4 linked regions of the Neurospora crassa OR74A genome follow. The protein of the gene in region 1 interacts with the protein of each later gene in a biochemical or structural test. Links are inferred from orthologs where the notes say so. Each region holds a gene or a part of one and is shown on either strand. Other genes may lie near its edges.

The links. The genes of interacting proteins can lie anywhere in the genome.
Region 2: the proteins of NCU08973 (region 1) and NCU01741 form a complex in vitro, tested with the Saccharomyces cerevisiae proteins (3 studies listed by BioGRID). The link is inferred for Neurospora crassa OR74A from reciprocal best matches to the Saccharomyces cerevisiae genes YKT6 and BET1.
Region 3: the proteins of NCU08973 (region 1) and NCU05959 form a complex in vitro, tested with the Saccharomyces cerevisiae proteins (3 studies listed by BioGRID). The link is inferred for Neurospora crassa OR74A from reciprocal best matches to the Saccharomyces cerevisiae genes YKT6 and VTI1.
Region 4: the proteins of NCU08973 (region 1) and NCU06777 form a complex in vitro, tested with the Saccharomyces cerevisiae proteins (2 studies listed by BioGRID). The link is inferred for Neurospora crassa OR74A from reciprocal best matches to the Saccharomyces cerevisiae genes YKT6 and PEP12.

Annotation. Positions count from the first base shown.
Region 1 is NC_026503.1:4,097,510-4,100,822, forward strand, and holds NCU08973 (SNARE protein Ykt6), read right to left. Parts: upstream 2,175-3,313; 5' UTR 1,733-2,174; coding exon 1,712-1,732; intron 1,654-1,711; coding exon 1,488-1,653; intron 1,423-1,487; coding exon 1,133-1,422; intron 1,076-1,132; coding exon 956-1,075; 3' UTR 501-955; downstream 1-500. Other genes in the region: NCU16686 (hypothetical protein), read right to left, coding at 3,293-3,313.
Region 2 is NC_026502.1:2,582,606-2,586,556, forward strand, and holds NCU01741 (SNARE complex subunit), read right to left. Parts: upstream 2,466-3,951; 5' UTR 2,251-2,465; coding exon 2,237-2,250; intron 1,629-2,236; coding exon 1,304-1,628; intron 1,206-1,303; coding exon 999-1,205; 3' UTR 501-998; downstream 1-500. Other genes in the region: NCU01742 (hypothetical protein), read left to right, coding at 1-157; NCU01740 (histone H2A.Z-specific chaperone chz-1), read right to left, coding at 3,758-3,924. UniProt on the Saccharomyces cerevisiae protein: SNARE required for targeting and fusion of ER-derived transport vesicles with the Golgi complex.
Region 3 is NC_026506.1:3,311,437-3,314,918, reverse strand, and holds NCU05959 (vesicle transport V-SNARE protein VTI1), read left to right. Parts: upstream 1-1,416; 5' UTR 1,417-1,733; coding exon 1,734-2,133; intron 2,134-2,209; coding exon 2,210-2,408; intron 2,409-2,484; coding exon 2,485-2,572; 3' UTR 2,573-2,982; downstream 2,983-3,482. UniProt on the Saccharomyces cerevisiae protein: t-SNARE found in various SNARE complexes involved in multiple transport pathways. The composition of the t-SNARE complexes is specific for a limited number of v-SNAREs and therefore allows only the vesicles carrying the matching v-SNARE to fuse.
Region 4 is NC_026502.1:1,962,467-1,966,587, reverse strand, and holds the start of NCU06777 (syntaxin), read left to right. Parts: upstream 1-1,321; 5' UTR 1,322-1,929; coding exon 1,930-2,220; intron 2,221-2,328; coding exon 2,329-2,865; 3' UTR 2,866-3,236; coding exon of another isoform or gene 3,237-4,121. Other genes in the region: NCU06776 (hypothetical protein), read right to left, coding at 1-823, 889-1,027; OXA-2, read right to left, coding at 3,237-4,121. UniProt on the Saccharomyces cerevisiae protein: Plays a role in the sorting and targeting of vacuolar proteases.

The DNA.
Region 1 (3,313 bases):
AAGGCGCGACATCAGGTAGGAGCGCCTCTGCCACCCCGCACATTTACAGTCTCAGTTTCCTATGATGTTGTTCGAACCCCAGCTTGCATCCAACGTCTGTAGTGCACATGAGTAGACGCCGACGGAGCCGATATAAGATCGGCATGGAGGAAGATCCGTACGCAATGCCGCCATCATCGATCAGCTCAATTGATGCTGCTGCGTAGTCTTGTAGTTTGAATCTCAACGTTTCCATTCATATCTTCAAAAGAGTCTTTTTGGCTGGGCTAGCTTGAGAGGGATAACAACCCCTAGAATATACCATAGTGTACATTAGTTACGACTCGCACAGTTTACGCCACTACGGCGTGGCGGACAAGGTCGTCATCACTGCAACCGAATGTCGTGACTGGGGAACCCGACCGCTTCGCTTGTGTCGGCCCATCACATAATCTTTGAGGGCGGATGTCGTATGAAACTAACGGGTATGCAAGAAACGGAGCGAAGATCTCTCAGATAAGTGCGCAGCCTCGGGTTCGACACATAACAAATCTATAACAGGACTACCTACATCTGGTAGTCGAAGTATGTATTTCACAGCTTTAGCGCCAAACAGTGGTCAATCTTTCACAGTTTCGGGTATGTACCACACAACAATGAATATGAGAAAGGGTATATTGCAGGTTGAATTAGAAGTTTAGCATTCTCAGAGCCCACGAAGCCGTCAAGGTAAGTGGCTTTCACATATCCAAAGCGGCTACTGTAAGGCCCTCTGTCGTCAGTAGCCAAACTGCAACCTGCGCGGAAACCAAAAGCTGAATTAGAAGAGACCCCCACCAGTGCCTCGAAGACAACGAGGGGTCAGTCGCTCTTTGTATTTGGGTAGGGGGAACGTTGCGGTCGATGGCATATATCAGTGCGGCTGACTAAAAGCGAAGACAGTCGCGCGTGGTTGGTTGGTATTGATGAACGATCTTTACATAACCAGGCAGCACGAGTTCTGCTTCTTCGCACTCTGGTAGAACATCTTGCTCTGCGCACTCAGGTCGGAACTCTTGGCAACCAGGTCGTCGAGCTTCTCGCCTCGTTGCAAAACCTAAAACTAGGTTAGCATGTTATATAGAGCATTGCTACCCTCTGTGAATGGACATACGCTATCAATTGCCTTGTGTAGGACGATCTTGGTCTCGTCGAGCTCTTGCTGGATCTTTGCAATGCTGCTCGCGTTGTTGGCATCTTGGTAGTCGCGAAGGTACTGCTCGATGGCCGGGAAAGGGATGTCGCCGTCGTTCTTGGCGGCGTTTATCGTGGCAACCGGCTTCTCCGAGAGAAACTGGTCCATGAGCTTGGAAAGGACACTGTGGGCGGCGATAGGAGGGTAGTCCTTGGTGATGACGACACCGCAAACACCCTCGGAGCGGGCATAGGCGTGGATAATATAATCTGTTCGGACACCACCTAGTCAGCTAGGCACATGTATGCGAGCAGAGAGTTCACCATAGACGCACCTTGCTCCTCAACACTTTGCCTCTGGCCAGGCTTCGTCCTCTCTGCGACAGTCCTGCTGATCATGGTCATGAAGTTCTTGTATTGGTCTCGTGTGAACCTGGAGAAGTCGCTAAGCTCGTGGGCACCGCAGAGCTGCACCGCAGGCTGCTCGGTGTTTTTGTAGATCTTGTTCGCGGTCAGCAGGTACCTTCTTGTACCCCCTATGAAAGCAGCCGTATCTTACACCAATGTAGTAGAGCTTCATGGTAGCGGTATTTGAAACGTCCCCGAGGTTTTGTTGTGGTCGTGTTTCAGAGCTTTGGCGCAAATCAGGCGAGTATCGCTGTTGATGGTTCCTGACTGTACACGATGATGTTGATGTCTCGCGTTGGGATAGAGAGAGCCGATGTGATGGCGTGGGGAGCAATGAGGTCTGGAATTGCCGAATCGTAGGGTTCGTCGTTAGATTAGGTTAATGGATTGTAAGTTGCGATGGTTTGGTCAAGGAAGCGCGTCGCTGTGTCGGTCGTGGTTCGGGCTCGACGATTGTCGATGGATTAGGGGGAGGGGTTTGATAGACGACGCGCGATCGATGGCGGCAATGGCGATGCGATGAGGTATCGATGGAATCAAGCTGTTGTTCGAGGCTGAATGGCGATGTGTCGAAGCCAACCACAGCCGTCCGCTTCTTGTTGGGCCAGGCCATCGAGACCCATGCCCTCTGGGCTGGAACAGCACCGTCAGGCGGGCGTCGGCCAAACACCGCCCCGCTAGCACATGTTAGTGCCAATGCTACTATAGGAAGACCTTGTCCTAACACGGGCTCTTGTTGCATCTCCGTGTCCTTTCATTTGCTTTTTGTTCAACCATGATTGACATGTGCAATGACGACTAAGACGACTACTCAGATCCCTACAATCGCACTTGTCAAGAACATCTTCCTGGAACATTGAACAAAAGTTTCCAAGGGGACGGACTGATGATGTGGAAGGTGATTAGAAAGCACAAACAGAACAAGCGGAACGCCGGCCCATGCTTCTAACGAGGTTTCCTGAAGCGAAAAAAGGGTCTTTGGTGTACAGTGTTCACCCGCGAAGCGAATATGTTTGACATGCACTCTGCTCCGAGTCTGGAAGGGATCGCGGACCTCTCAACGAGTATTACCCCTATGAGGCACATAGTATATGATTCCACGACTACCCAGTATAAAATACTATGGAGCAAAACTCCTTCGAGTCAGACGGATGGGATCGATGCCTTGAATGACCTTTTCGAGAACAAAGTCATCGATCCTCTCCACCAGGTCCGGATATTACACCGCGCGGATTTCCACCTCGTGTCGGATCTCGAAGCCTTTCGGGTACATATCATTCATGGTCGCACAAATGTAACTACACACATATGACCATCGAACCGCCTTGCCCACGCGTCTGTACATCACCAATAATGTAAAGCTGGACATGAACTTCTGGCCGAGAGATCGTCAGACTGGTGAAGCTAGAAGTCTTCCTACCAAAAGTTGACCTTGATGGAACAACAACCATCAAGACCCGTAGTCGTAGTGTATGTAATGACGAGGAGATGGCTCAAAGAGGAAAACCAAGCCGTAGTGTAGTGTACTATGTAGTGTAGTGTCGTGTAGACAAGCCTAGGAAAGAGACAGGGGGGGTTCGTGAAGTGGCCGGCACATGCGTCGGTTCCTCCTTCCACCTACACTACACCAGATTTGGACGCCGGCGATGCCTGTGGTGCTCCACCGCTTTTTGCACCGATTAGGACAAGCCCAGTGAGCTGTGGCTCTTCGCCATTCGTTTCCCCAGCGATCTCACTCTGCCGTCGCGGTGCC
Region 2 (3,951 bases), on another chromosome or scaffold:
GCAGCAGCAGCGGCTGTTGAGGACTAGTCTTGCGGGAAATGCCAGGCGGAGCACAATTGGAGCGCCAAGGAGCAGTCTGGATATCAGTGGGCTGTTGTCTGTTGATGAGAGTAGTCCCATGATGAGAAGCAGTCCAAGGGTGAGGAGGTTGCACTAGAATGAAGGTCCGCGGTGGTTCGGAAAGAGAAACAAGGGAGGATTAAAACTGAGGAGTTGTGGTAGGAACGGTCAGCAAGCATCATTCAATAACAGGTCGTTTGAGTCTGGCGCATGGAGTCTTGGGATCATGGCAGTATGGGTAGCTACTTGGTGGCTTGGGAAGCAGGATTGAATAGATAATGTCCGTCAAAAGACAACTTTGATCTTCGTTACAGCAATGGTCTGGTCTATGCAGTGGTAGTCTACACGCAGTTCTGATTAACTGTCTGTTATACGCTCAATGATTATCCACTTCACGTTTGTGGGAGCCCATATATAGCTTCATGATTGATCAGTGGATTAAACCAGATAATTGAACCTCATTGGTTGGAGAACGGATTAAGAATGATTAAAATAATTAGGTACCACAAAAAAACCAAAAAAAACCGACTTCTGATACTACCCGAACGACTTAACAAACGCGAACTCCCCGGCGCCAGCATGCAAAAACCAAGTCCGCCCGCAATCTACCAAGGGCAACCCATATCCATGCCTTTTCTATCCCACAAGGTAGTCAGCCACTTTGACCTAGAACCTTCCGTTTTCCTCATCATCCATTGGTATTACCCATCGTTAAAGCCATATATATACTATCCCATCTTTCCTTTGCATATATATGGTCTCTTTTCTCGTTTCCATCATTCTTGAACATATCGCTTTGCCCCGCGCAGCAGCAGCAGCAGCAGCAGCAGCAGCAGGAGGACCACTCCGCCGACCAACATATCCCTCCATCTTTGTCTTTTTCTTTTCTTTCTTTTTCTCTCTTCCAAGTTCAGAAAAACCTTGACCTTGGAAGGATACTAGAGATACCTCACGTAAAAAAAGAGGAACACCACGGCAGCGAAAAAGGCAAGCCACACCCTCCACCCGACATTGGTCTTCTGTGCCATGATGAGCATTCGGTTCATGGTACCACGGAGTCGGAGGCGGGTTTGGTCGAAGGATTCGTTCATCTTCTCGGCGAGGGCGGAGGAGTCTCGAATTTCATCGCCGATGGCTATAGTCATCTGTTTGTGGGGGAGGGATGGGGTTAGTTGATGGGTGGCTTGCGAGAGAAGGAAGTGGGAGAGAGGGAGGAGAGCAGAAAGAGAGAACAAAAACATACATCCTTCAAAATCTTGACTTTACCCATTATCCCTTCCACCTGCTCATCATTCTGGCTCTCGAGTTCGTTGAGGACTGCGTCGCTGTACTGGCCCCTTGAATTTGGAGTAGCAGGCCTAAACCCGCCCCGTTCCATCCCCAGTGTTGACGAGCTGCCGTTATAACTCCCACCGCCACCATAGCCGCCCCCGTACCCGTATCCGCCGCCACCGCCATACCTTGCTGGGCTGGCGTTGGCCGAGCGGCGCTCGGCTGCGCTGGAGCCAGAGTAGCCCTTGAAAAGGTCGCTGCGCGGGTCGCGCTGGTGTAGAGAGGAATGTGCAAATCTGTACTCCGGAGAAAAAGAAAAGCGGACTAATTGTTAGAAGGGTGTTGTCTTGTCTTGTTCGAAGGATTAAGGGGTTGGTGGGATGGGGGTTGTGGTGGGTGGTCAAAGTCGAATCGAGGACGACCCGGGGGCATGGTGGATGGATCGAGTTGACGCTTTCGGTTTCGCTGTCATTCTCGCTCTCGTCGCCAGTGCTGCTGTGGTTGCGCCGCTGTTGCGACTGCATCACATCACGGTAGTGAACTCGTATCGTATCCTACCATGGCATGGTTGGAGGCGTGTTGGCGAGACTCTGAAACCAGAGCGATGACGTAGTTGAGGCCGTCGCGCCATGACCAGGGGGGGCAGGTCGAGAAATCGTGACTTGTCAAACCAACCACCATAACATCGATAGCTGCTGCCTTTGGTCCGCAGATATCTTCCGGTGGCAATATCGTACACCCGTTCACCGGAGCCGGGCAGCTCGGTCGGCCGCTCGCTTCATCGCGTGTCGGTCGTGGGTTTGGTCGAGTTGACAGGCCAAGTCGCATTTCGAAATGTGAAAGGTGGCATTTGCGTGTGGTGTGGTGCAATGCTAAGACGAACGTACAAGAGAATCGCACTCACCTGGAAGCCATCATGGAGAGCAAATTTAGGTCGATCCGTCTTCGAGAATCCTGACAGGTAAATGCTAGCTAACTTGTAAGAGTGTGGGTAGGTATTAGAGATGATGAATTGGCAGGTTCCATAGAGGTAGCGTCGGGCGGGGGGTGTGCGGGTGGTGAAGAAAGAAAATAAAGTTGAATGCCCGTGGACCCTTGGCCGCCAGCGCCGGCAGATCCCCCTTTTTAGTTTGGGTGGTTGTTAGGCCTGTTCTGGCCAGATGTTACCTTGGTGCGCCGTCCATGTACATAAACTACAACGTCAGTCCGTGTCTGGGTGATACATATGTAATGGCTAAAAGGTACAATGTTGTTCGTGCCGCATGATGCTGACAAGGACACGTTGATTGAACATCTGGGTTGGTGTCACGTCTTCCTCTCCGAGAGAACTTGACACTATTTTCCCCAATGTATCTGGTTTTAATCATTCAATTTTTCTTTATGTCGGAGGGTTCATGTTCGGCGTTGTTCAAAGTCCCTCCGAGAGGTGCCCGTGTTGCTTCCACTGATATTGGCTAATTGGGCGTTCAGCGTCTCCATTCTTCCTCTACCTTTTTTTTTTTTTTTTTTTTTTTTTTTTTCTCTCTCAGCTTGTCGCGTCAGCAATAAGTTGATCCACGTTAGATTGCGCAAGGCGCATAGACTCAAGTATGGACTTATTGAAGCGAATCTAAGCCCAAATCCGAGACTTTCAGAATCGTTGAAGCTTTCCAAGTCGAAGGCATGCATTCTCACAGATGTTGGCGTCAAAGAAGCTGGTGTATGGTACTGCGTAGAATACCCGGTGGATCAGGCCAAGATCGCGAACCTTGTTGGTGGCTGGTGCGATGCTCCGGTTCCTGACGTCTGCTGTGTACTCCAGGAACAGGACCGATATCAAATCTCGATGGTCATAGCAACTCTAGAATTCGCCGGAATATTACCTTTTCATAGGTCAGCCGTAGACATATCACCCCCTTCAGGCTGCCTCGCGGTTAGTTTAGTGGCACCCCATCTCAACAGGCCAACTGCCCTTGAGCTGACAGGGGAATCATCCAATGTCTCCACTTATGGGGGTTAGGTTAGTGAAGACAAGCGATCAAGCGTATTCTGATACACCAACGTACGTAGTATGTTGATACTTTGAAATTGGCTGACAGAAGAGATCGGTCTACCTGAACTGATAAACGAATGATCACTTACACCCTTATCATGTATTGCCAAATTCTGATTGTGGGAACTCCCAACGCATTGAACCAAACAACCCCAGGCCTTATAGCTGACATTCACGTACATAAATAGGTCCAGCCAATCAGGCTTAGCAATCAGCCAAAAGACGGCTTACATCTCCAAGCTCGTGATCATCATAAAACTCAACCACTGGCAGCGAGCAAAGCGCAGAGCCAACGGGGAAACCCAGGAAGAAAGAAAACAAGAATCTGTTGTCATTGTTGTTGTTGTTGTTGTTGTTGTGAACCATCAAAGGAAATCAGAAGATAGCCTCGGACTACTCCTCCATTTCCTCATCCTCGGGCACAAACTCCTCGTCGTCCTCCTCATCGTCCTCCTCGGCAGGCAAGTCCTGAGCGGCCTTGGCATAGTCGATCTCCTTCTGGCGAGTGCGGGGACCACTGATCACATTGCTGGGGTCGATCTCCTCGAGGTTGTCTTCCTCTGTTTTTGTTCATGTTAGTTCCTGTA
Region 3 (3,482 bases), on another chromosome or scaffold:
GCTCCAAGAGGTTTGGAAACGGTGGTGTTGCTGTGCCAGTGGCCGGTCACGACACCCGCGGCGCCCAAAGAAGAAAAAAAGCGACGGCGGAAGCGCACGGCAGATCCTGCTAGATCCTGGTAAAGGTAAGCGGGCAGGGGACTGGCCAAGCCCTGAGCTAGCCTGGCCAAATTAAAAAAGATGGGGCCAATTCGGTGCCGATGGTGGATGACGGTGGACGCCGGCAACGGTGAGTCGCTGAAATCGGCCGCCGATGTGTCAAAACCGTCGGACGTTGGCGTGGGCTTTTTCCTTCGGCGGCGGCGGCGGCGGTACGTAACTCGATCCTGGTGAATGTCGCCAACACTCTCCACTAGCCAAGCGATGATGTATTCCAGCGAATCCTATGGCGTGCCGAGAGTGGATCAGCCTGACAAACCTTCGAATGAAGAACCTCGCAGCGAATTCTCGAATTGTGACCGGGGTCGCTGATTTGTCCGTTGGTGATGGATGTTTTGTGGTGGAGGTTTAGTCAGACGGGTCGGTATCGCTGGGCTGAAGCCTGGTGTTGCTGGACGACGAGCAACAGAGAGAGTGTATGAGTGCGTGTATGTGTGTAAGTAAGTGTGTGCCACGAGGCCGGACCAGATGGCCATGAGCAGTCCTGGTGTTTTGATGTCGGCGACGAAATCCGAATGTCATAGCTGACATATATATGATTTAACAGAAGGTGCAAATCTCGTGGCAATGTCGAGCAGCTACCTACTATTTGCGCCGCAAAACAACATTGCCGACCAATCCGACCCGACTGCCAGGAGAACATTTTCCCAAAGCATCGGTGGCGACAGACTACAAACCCAAAAAAGACTTGGAAAATTCAAGACACCAACCAGAAACAAAAGGCTGGCAATGTGTCCATTTTCTGGGGAAACCAGCCAAGGTTCGCGTCAAGCAGCCGTGACAGTGTCTAGGCAGTGTACACTATATTATCTTAGCATGTCTTGGGACGTGGCCGTTGACTGGACCTTCTAAGCGATATGTCCCCCAAAACAGTTCCCTTCCCTAGGTCGTCATCGGTCTCAATTCGTTGCTGGCTGGTGAAAGGTCAACTCAGTCATACAAAGAAACCAATTGAAGAGTTTCAAGACGCCAAAGTCCCCGGCAGTCCCAGGCGGGGTTGATACGTTCAACTGGACACGGTCCGTGTAAGTTACACTTTGCAAACAATACATACAGCGCTTGCGTACACGTACTGCAACAACACTGCAATACATGCGGCAACGCCAAGCATGTGTACGTCACCCGCCTAGGCTGCAACTGTAACCACTGTAACTGTATGTAACAAGCGGAATGTCATGTGCCCATGCTGGTCCGTGCCCACAGCTGCTGTCGTCTCCCGCCTGCGGCCTGCCTGCCTTTCAGTTCGCTTGTCAGGCTGCTGAGACGACCGCAACGACTAACGGGGCTCGAAGCACACTGGTGTCGCTGGCGACAGACAACATTCGACGACGACCACTACTCCTTGCGATCAGACCAACCACACGCCAGCCCAACCACATCTCGTCCAACGCGACCGCATCAACGACGCCCCTCTTTGGCATGATTAATGACGAATCTGAATAATTGAGAATAACGATACCCGCCGATAAACGAGCATCACCCCGATACGGCCAGCCCGACGACAGCACCCCCACACCTGCCCCGAACCCCAACCTCCACATCCGATAGCAACACATAACTCCATTGAATCCAAGATGGCCAACATTCTCGACAGCGAAGCCGGCACAGAGCTCTTCAAGCATTATGAGACGGAATACCAGCTGGTCCAGGCCGACCTGGTCCAGAAGCTCGACCAAATCTCGGAGCTGACGGGCGAGCCCAGGAAAGCCGCCCTCAGCACGGCCGAGCGCGCCCTGGAGGAGGCCGGCGAGCTGCTGGACCAGATGAACATGGAGAAGCAGAACGTGCCCAGCTCGTCGCGGACCGCCATCAACAAGCGACTGCGCGACTACCGAAGCGACGTGGACAAGTATCGTCGCAAGCTGCAGACGCTGGCGACGGACCGCAGCGCCCTGTTCGGCGGCAGATACACCGATAACCCGGGCTCTTCGAGTGGCGATAGGCATTTTGAGCAGAGGCAGCAGCTGCTATCTGGTGGGTGGTGGACAGAAGCACCTTATACATGGCAAGAAGAAACGGAATGCTGACTATTTCCCCCGAAACGTAAAAGGCACCGACCGGCTCGATCGGAGCACACAACGCCTCAAGGCCAGTCAGGCGCTGGCCGCCGAGACAGAGGCTATTGGCGCCAGCACCCTGGCCGACCTGCACCGCCAACGCGAAGTCATTGAGCACACCACCACGATACTATACGAGAGTGAAGGCTATGTGGACCGAAGTGTCAAGACACTAAAGGGCATGGCACGCAGGTACCACCCTCCCCTTTTGTCCCAATGCGAATCATGATGATTAGGTAATACTGACCACTTGCGCCTTTACCATTAGGATGGCTACGAATCGGATAATCACCATTGCGATCATCACCGTGCTGGTCCTCCTTATCATTGCGGTTATCGTTAGCAAGTTCAGGTGATTGTGTCGAGAGAGCTGAGCGAATCCATAAAGAAGCAATACAACATCAGGTAGAACAGGCAGGGGTGTTCAGTGACATCACGATATATACGAACAGGTGGTGGATGGTTTGGACTGTACCGATGGAGCGTTTGTTATAACAGAGACATGTTCCAGTTCCATGTTTTTCGTATCGTAGGGATGGTATCGTACGGGGGGTTGTATTTTTACACAGACGGCGTCACAAAGGGAGGTGGTTTCGAAATTTAGACGTATTTCTTTCTCATGACCATACGGCGGCCTTGCTTCCATGGACGTTCCGACATCCGACAGGGGAAAACGGCTCGCCATGTCCACCACAACTCGCCGCCACATGGGTAGCGGATCGTTCTCTATGATTTCAAATGATTCTCCTCTGAGACATAGTATCCCTGACTTTGGTCGGTGTTGACCGGGGCCTTGGTTAAAACAAATTTTCTGTTGGCCACTGTTGTTTGAATGATTTGCGTTCACCACACCTCTGCTGGGATGTGACTTGGTAGCTTGGTAGTTCTACAAGAAACAGAGAGCGAGCCTTCGACAAAGTCGCTATTTCTTGTGCCCAAATTAAGCTTCTTTGCCACCCTGAAGAACCGTGGTGTACTGTGTATATCCCAGCAAGAACTGTGTCTTGGTAACTCATGTACACTACAGGCCTATTACAAATGAGTAGACTAAGAAATTTTCCATGTGATGGAAACACGCATCACTGCAAATCACGTCAAGTCATCTTCTTCGAGATACTTTCGTTGTTGTTAACATTTGCATATAACCCCACTTTCACAGATACGCAGTACATAACGGACCCTCAGACCTTCCACAGCTCCAGTTGAACTTTAGGCGGTGAAAAAAAAGAAGTCCACCGGACTGATGTTCCGCAGCTCAAGCTGCAG
Region 4 (4,121 bases), on another chromosome or scaffold:
TAAAACAACTTTCTGTGCCCGAGTCCGTTCAAGAGACTGCCATTGGGATCCTTGGACCCCGATGTGAAAGGGCGTTGATCCTTGGTCGGTTCCTTGACCATGAACATGGTGAACGCAGTGTTACCAGCAATCCAAACGATCAGGAGCATGGTGCTAGCCAGGATGATCGAAGTGGCGCTTTTGAAGGAGACGGGCCACGAATATGGCACATAGTTCGTCTTTGGAAGGTTGAAGAATGGGCGAAAGAAGAAGAGCGACAGCCGCCAGACCACCTTGCGCAGGAACGGGTAGGTGACCAAAGTCAATATCAGGCTGGCAAGCGTTTGATTGAGTGACTGCAAGAAAATGCTAGGCATCTCACCCCAGAACTTCTTCATAAGGGTGCCGACATCACTGTTGTTGTTACGGACGGCCTTCTCTGAGGGCTTAGCGACACCCAAGAGGAGCCGGTCAATGTCCAAATACAGATGTCTGATGGCCTGGTAGACGCCGAGCATCACAAGATGGGTGGTAATGAAGACAGCCTTCTCGTTCAGCCTCTGTCTATCGTACGACAGGTACGTCACCCATTCCAACCCAGAGTCCTTAGGCTGGGAAAGGAGGTAGACTTGGGCAAACAGCCAGGCAGAGAAGGCATATGTCAAGATGGTCTCCAAGGTTGAGAAGTTGCGCCAATGCTTCAGGAAGGTATCGAAAGCCGAGTCGGATGTTCGGTAGCCGGGATGGTATTGTGCGATGCGCAGGATGAGGATGAGCGAGCCGGAGAACCAGAAGAAGGCGGCGCGAAAGCCAGTCGGGCCGATGGGAAACCAAGACCAGAGGACTAGATGGAGAGCAGCATGGTCAGTTGGTTCGCGTCAGGTAGCAGAAGGTAGCTGGCCAGCTTACAAGAGTTCCATCTGGCCAGGCCAATGGCATAGACATATGCGATGACGAGCAGAATCAAGGCTGTGGTACTAAAACGGCGATGGAGTGCAGGCTGGAGGAAGTCCTTGTAGGGCGGTCGTCTAACAGATGCGGACGCCATCTTCACAGCACATTGTCGACAGTCCCGCCGTCGTTATGGTAGTTGTTTGCCTGTGGATGGTGTCTGGAAGACGTGATGCGCGTGAGGGGGAGGGCGGGGAGGGGGGAGGTGGGATTGGTCCTCGTCGAAATTAAGCTGAGGTCAGTAAAGCCCAATTTGGATCTTGAGGCAGCAGCTTCGGGTTTGATATGAGGTGTTGAGTTGGTTGTATGTAAATAAAAAAACGGGGTGGGCCTGCCTGCCGCGCTGGACTGGACTGAACTGAAGCTTCCAGTTCCCGTAGTCCCCAAAACACGAGGGGACGCGCTGTCGTCAGCCTGTCACTCTTTTTGGATCCACACGAGCTGAAGGCCCGGTATCATGATTGGCCAAGATGCCCCATTACGTCTCCAACAAGCCAAGCCGAAGCTTTGGAGCGGCAGGGCAGGACGGCAGGGATCCACATGGAAGTTCCCTCGAAACTGACAGTGGATGCTGACAGCGCACAGCGGGCAGCCACTGAGGGACAGCGACTGGTGGTGTCCTGGCTCGCCTGGATAACGCAATCCATTGCAACCACTTGCGACCACTTGCGACCCGGCATTGTCGTCCCAGATCACAAGTCACAAGTCACCTTAGGTTCCCGCGCTTCAACTTACAACCATCCACCCAAGGGAACCTTGGACCACCACCGCCTGTTGACAAAAACATCACCAACAAAACAGGCACCGACGAATCGCTCGTTTTCCGAAGGGCCTCATCTCAGCTTCCATTTGCTTGAAGAACCGCATACTTGTACATACCGAATCCCATCTCGTCGACGACAATCAATCACTACCCTGCGCATCGCATCAGGCACCGATAAGCCAAACTATCTGCTATCATAACCACAACCACAACCACGACAACCACCACCAGCAACCATGTCATTCGATCAGCTCTCCTCCCTTGAGGCGGGGCGCCGTCGTAATACCGGTGGCAACCAGTACACCGATGACCCCGAGTTCCAGCGCCTCTCCCAAGATTTGATGAACAAGCTCTTCAAGCTTAACGGCAACAACCAGCGACTCCAAGGCGAGGTCGGCCACCTCGGCACGCGGCGCGATACTCCACGGGTTCGGGAACGAGTCCACGAGCTGATTGAGGAGTCGCGCGATCTATTCAAGGAAGTCGGCGGGGGCGTCAAGAAGGTGCAAACCTGGGAAGATGTCACTGTACGTTACTATTCTCTCTCTCTCTCTCTCTCTTATCACCACTCCTCGTCCCCTCCATTGCCAAGCGCCGGACCGTAGACTAACACGCCATACCCAAAAAAAAACTAGCCGACCCAAAAATACATGCAACAAAAACTCTCGCGCGAATTCCAATCCTCCCTCTCCGAATTCCAATCCCTCCAACGCACCGCCCTCGACAAGCAAAAAGCCTCAGTAACCGCCGCCCGCTCCGTGATTGACGCCACCGACCCTTCGCACTCTTCGCACCCCGTGCTCGAGTCCGGGGAACCCCAGCTGCTGCAATATCAGGAGCAAGAACTCACCCACCTCGCGTCGCAATCCGATGTCGATTTCCAGGATGCGCTCATCCTCGAGCGCGAAGAGGAGATTCGCAATATCGAGCAGGGTGTTGGCGACTTGAATGTGCTGTTCCAGCAGGTGGCTCAGATTGTCAGCGAGCAGGGCGAGATGCTGGATACGATTGCGAATAATGTGGAGAATGTGAGGGATGATACGGCGGGGGCGGATAGGGAGTTGAGGAGTGCGGCGAGGTATCAGAAGAATGCGAGGGGCAAGGCGTGCTGTTTGTTGCTGATTTTGAGCGTTATCTTGACGATTGTTTTGTTGGCGGTGTTCTTGGGCTAAATGGGTGGGACATGATATGGCATGGTATGAAAAACAAGTGCAGGATGCGGAAAGACGGGACACAGTAAGGATATGATTGTTGATGATGTTTTGATGATGAAACGGAAGGGAATGGCCCGGAGGACAGGGTAATCCTGTAATGGTTGGTTTTGTTATTTCTGTTGCTGTCGTTGTTGTTGATTTCGTTATCGCAAAGACGCCTGGGAGGGATCAAAGACAGGGGAAAGGCGTTTTCGGAGTTCTTACATTCTTTTTTGACTCTTGTTGGCTATACAGTTTCCATCTGGCCTCTGTAGGCGGCCAGTCCATCTATCATCCATCCATAGGTATCTTATGTCTCATACATCTACATACATACTGTACAAAAACCGCTATGCTCTATCTTGTGACATGGCTTGCGAGATCACTTTCTTTACGGCTGTGTGATTCGGCTCCCAATCCAGCCCCGGCAGCTTCGGTCTCACATACGGATCATCTCCCCTCCCCTTGGCCGGTCCCAGATATGGCGGCAACGGCATCTTGGCCGCCACCACGCTCGTGATCGCGTTGCTCGTCAGACTCGTCGTGATCCAGTACAGGTGCAGCGCCGCCGGCAAGTTGATGGTGGCGGGCCCAACGATCAGCGTCAGCAGCAGCAGCGCCCGCTGCATCCTAAGTCCTACGGACTTTTGCTGCTTGATCTTGGATGCGTGCTCGCCAATATTGTTTGGGTTGACGTCCTCCGTCCCGGGGTTCAGGAGACGCAACCACCCTTCTTGGTTGCGAGGCATTACGTTGACGAACATGGTGAAAGAAAGAACGAAAGGGAGAATGTGCAGAGGGTCGGCGGCCATGAGGTCGGGGAACCAGAGGCAGCCCTCCATGGTGGTGGGGAGGGTGTTTTGGAAATAGCTGGAGAGGGATTCCGGGAGGATGTTGGCTAGGGGGTTGACAATGGCGTCGGCGACGGGCGTGGTAGTGGTGACGGATGCTTCCGTGACGGCCTGCGTGGCGTTTGTGGCCGCTTCAGTTGCTTGTAACACTGCTTGTTGTGTGGTTTCCGCCGCCTTCGAGGCCGCCTCCGCCGCCGCCCTCCCATCCTTATTAGCCCCCAAAAACATACCCAACAGACCAACCGGTCCGCCACACAACCTCCTCAAAGCCTCGATACCCACCAGCCAGCCGGGAAAGGCCAAAAACGGCACAAACTGCTTCCATGGCTGCACGCCCCACTCTTTCAGTAACCTTTTGCTCGTCTTCTCCATCCGCTTCATGAT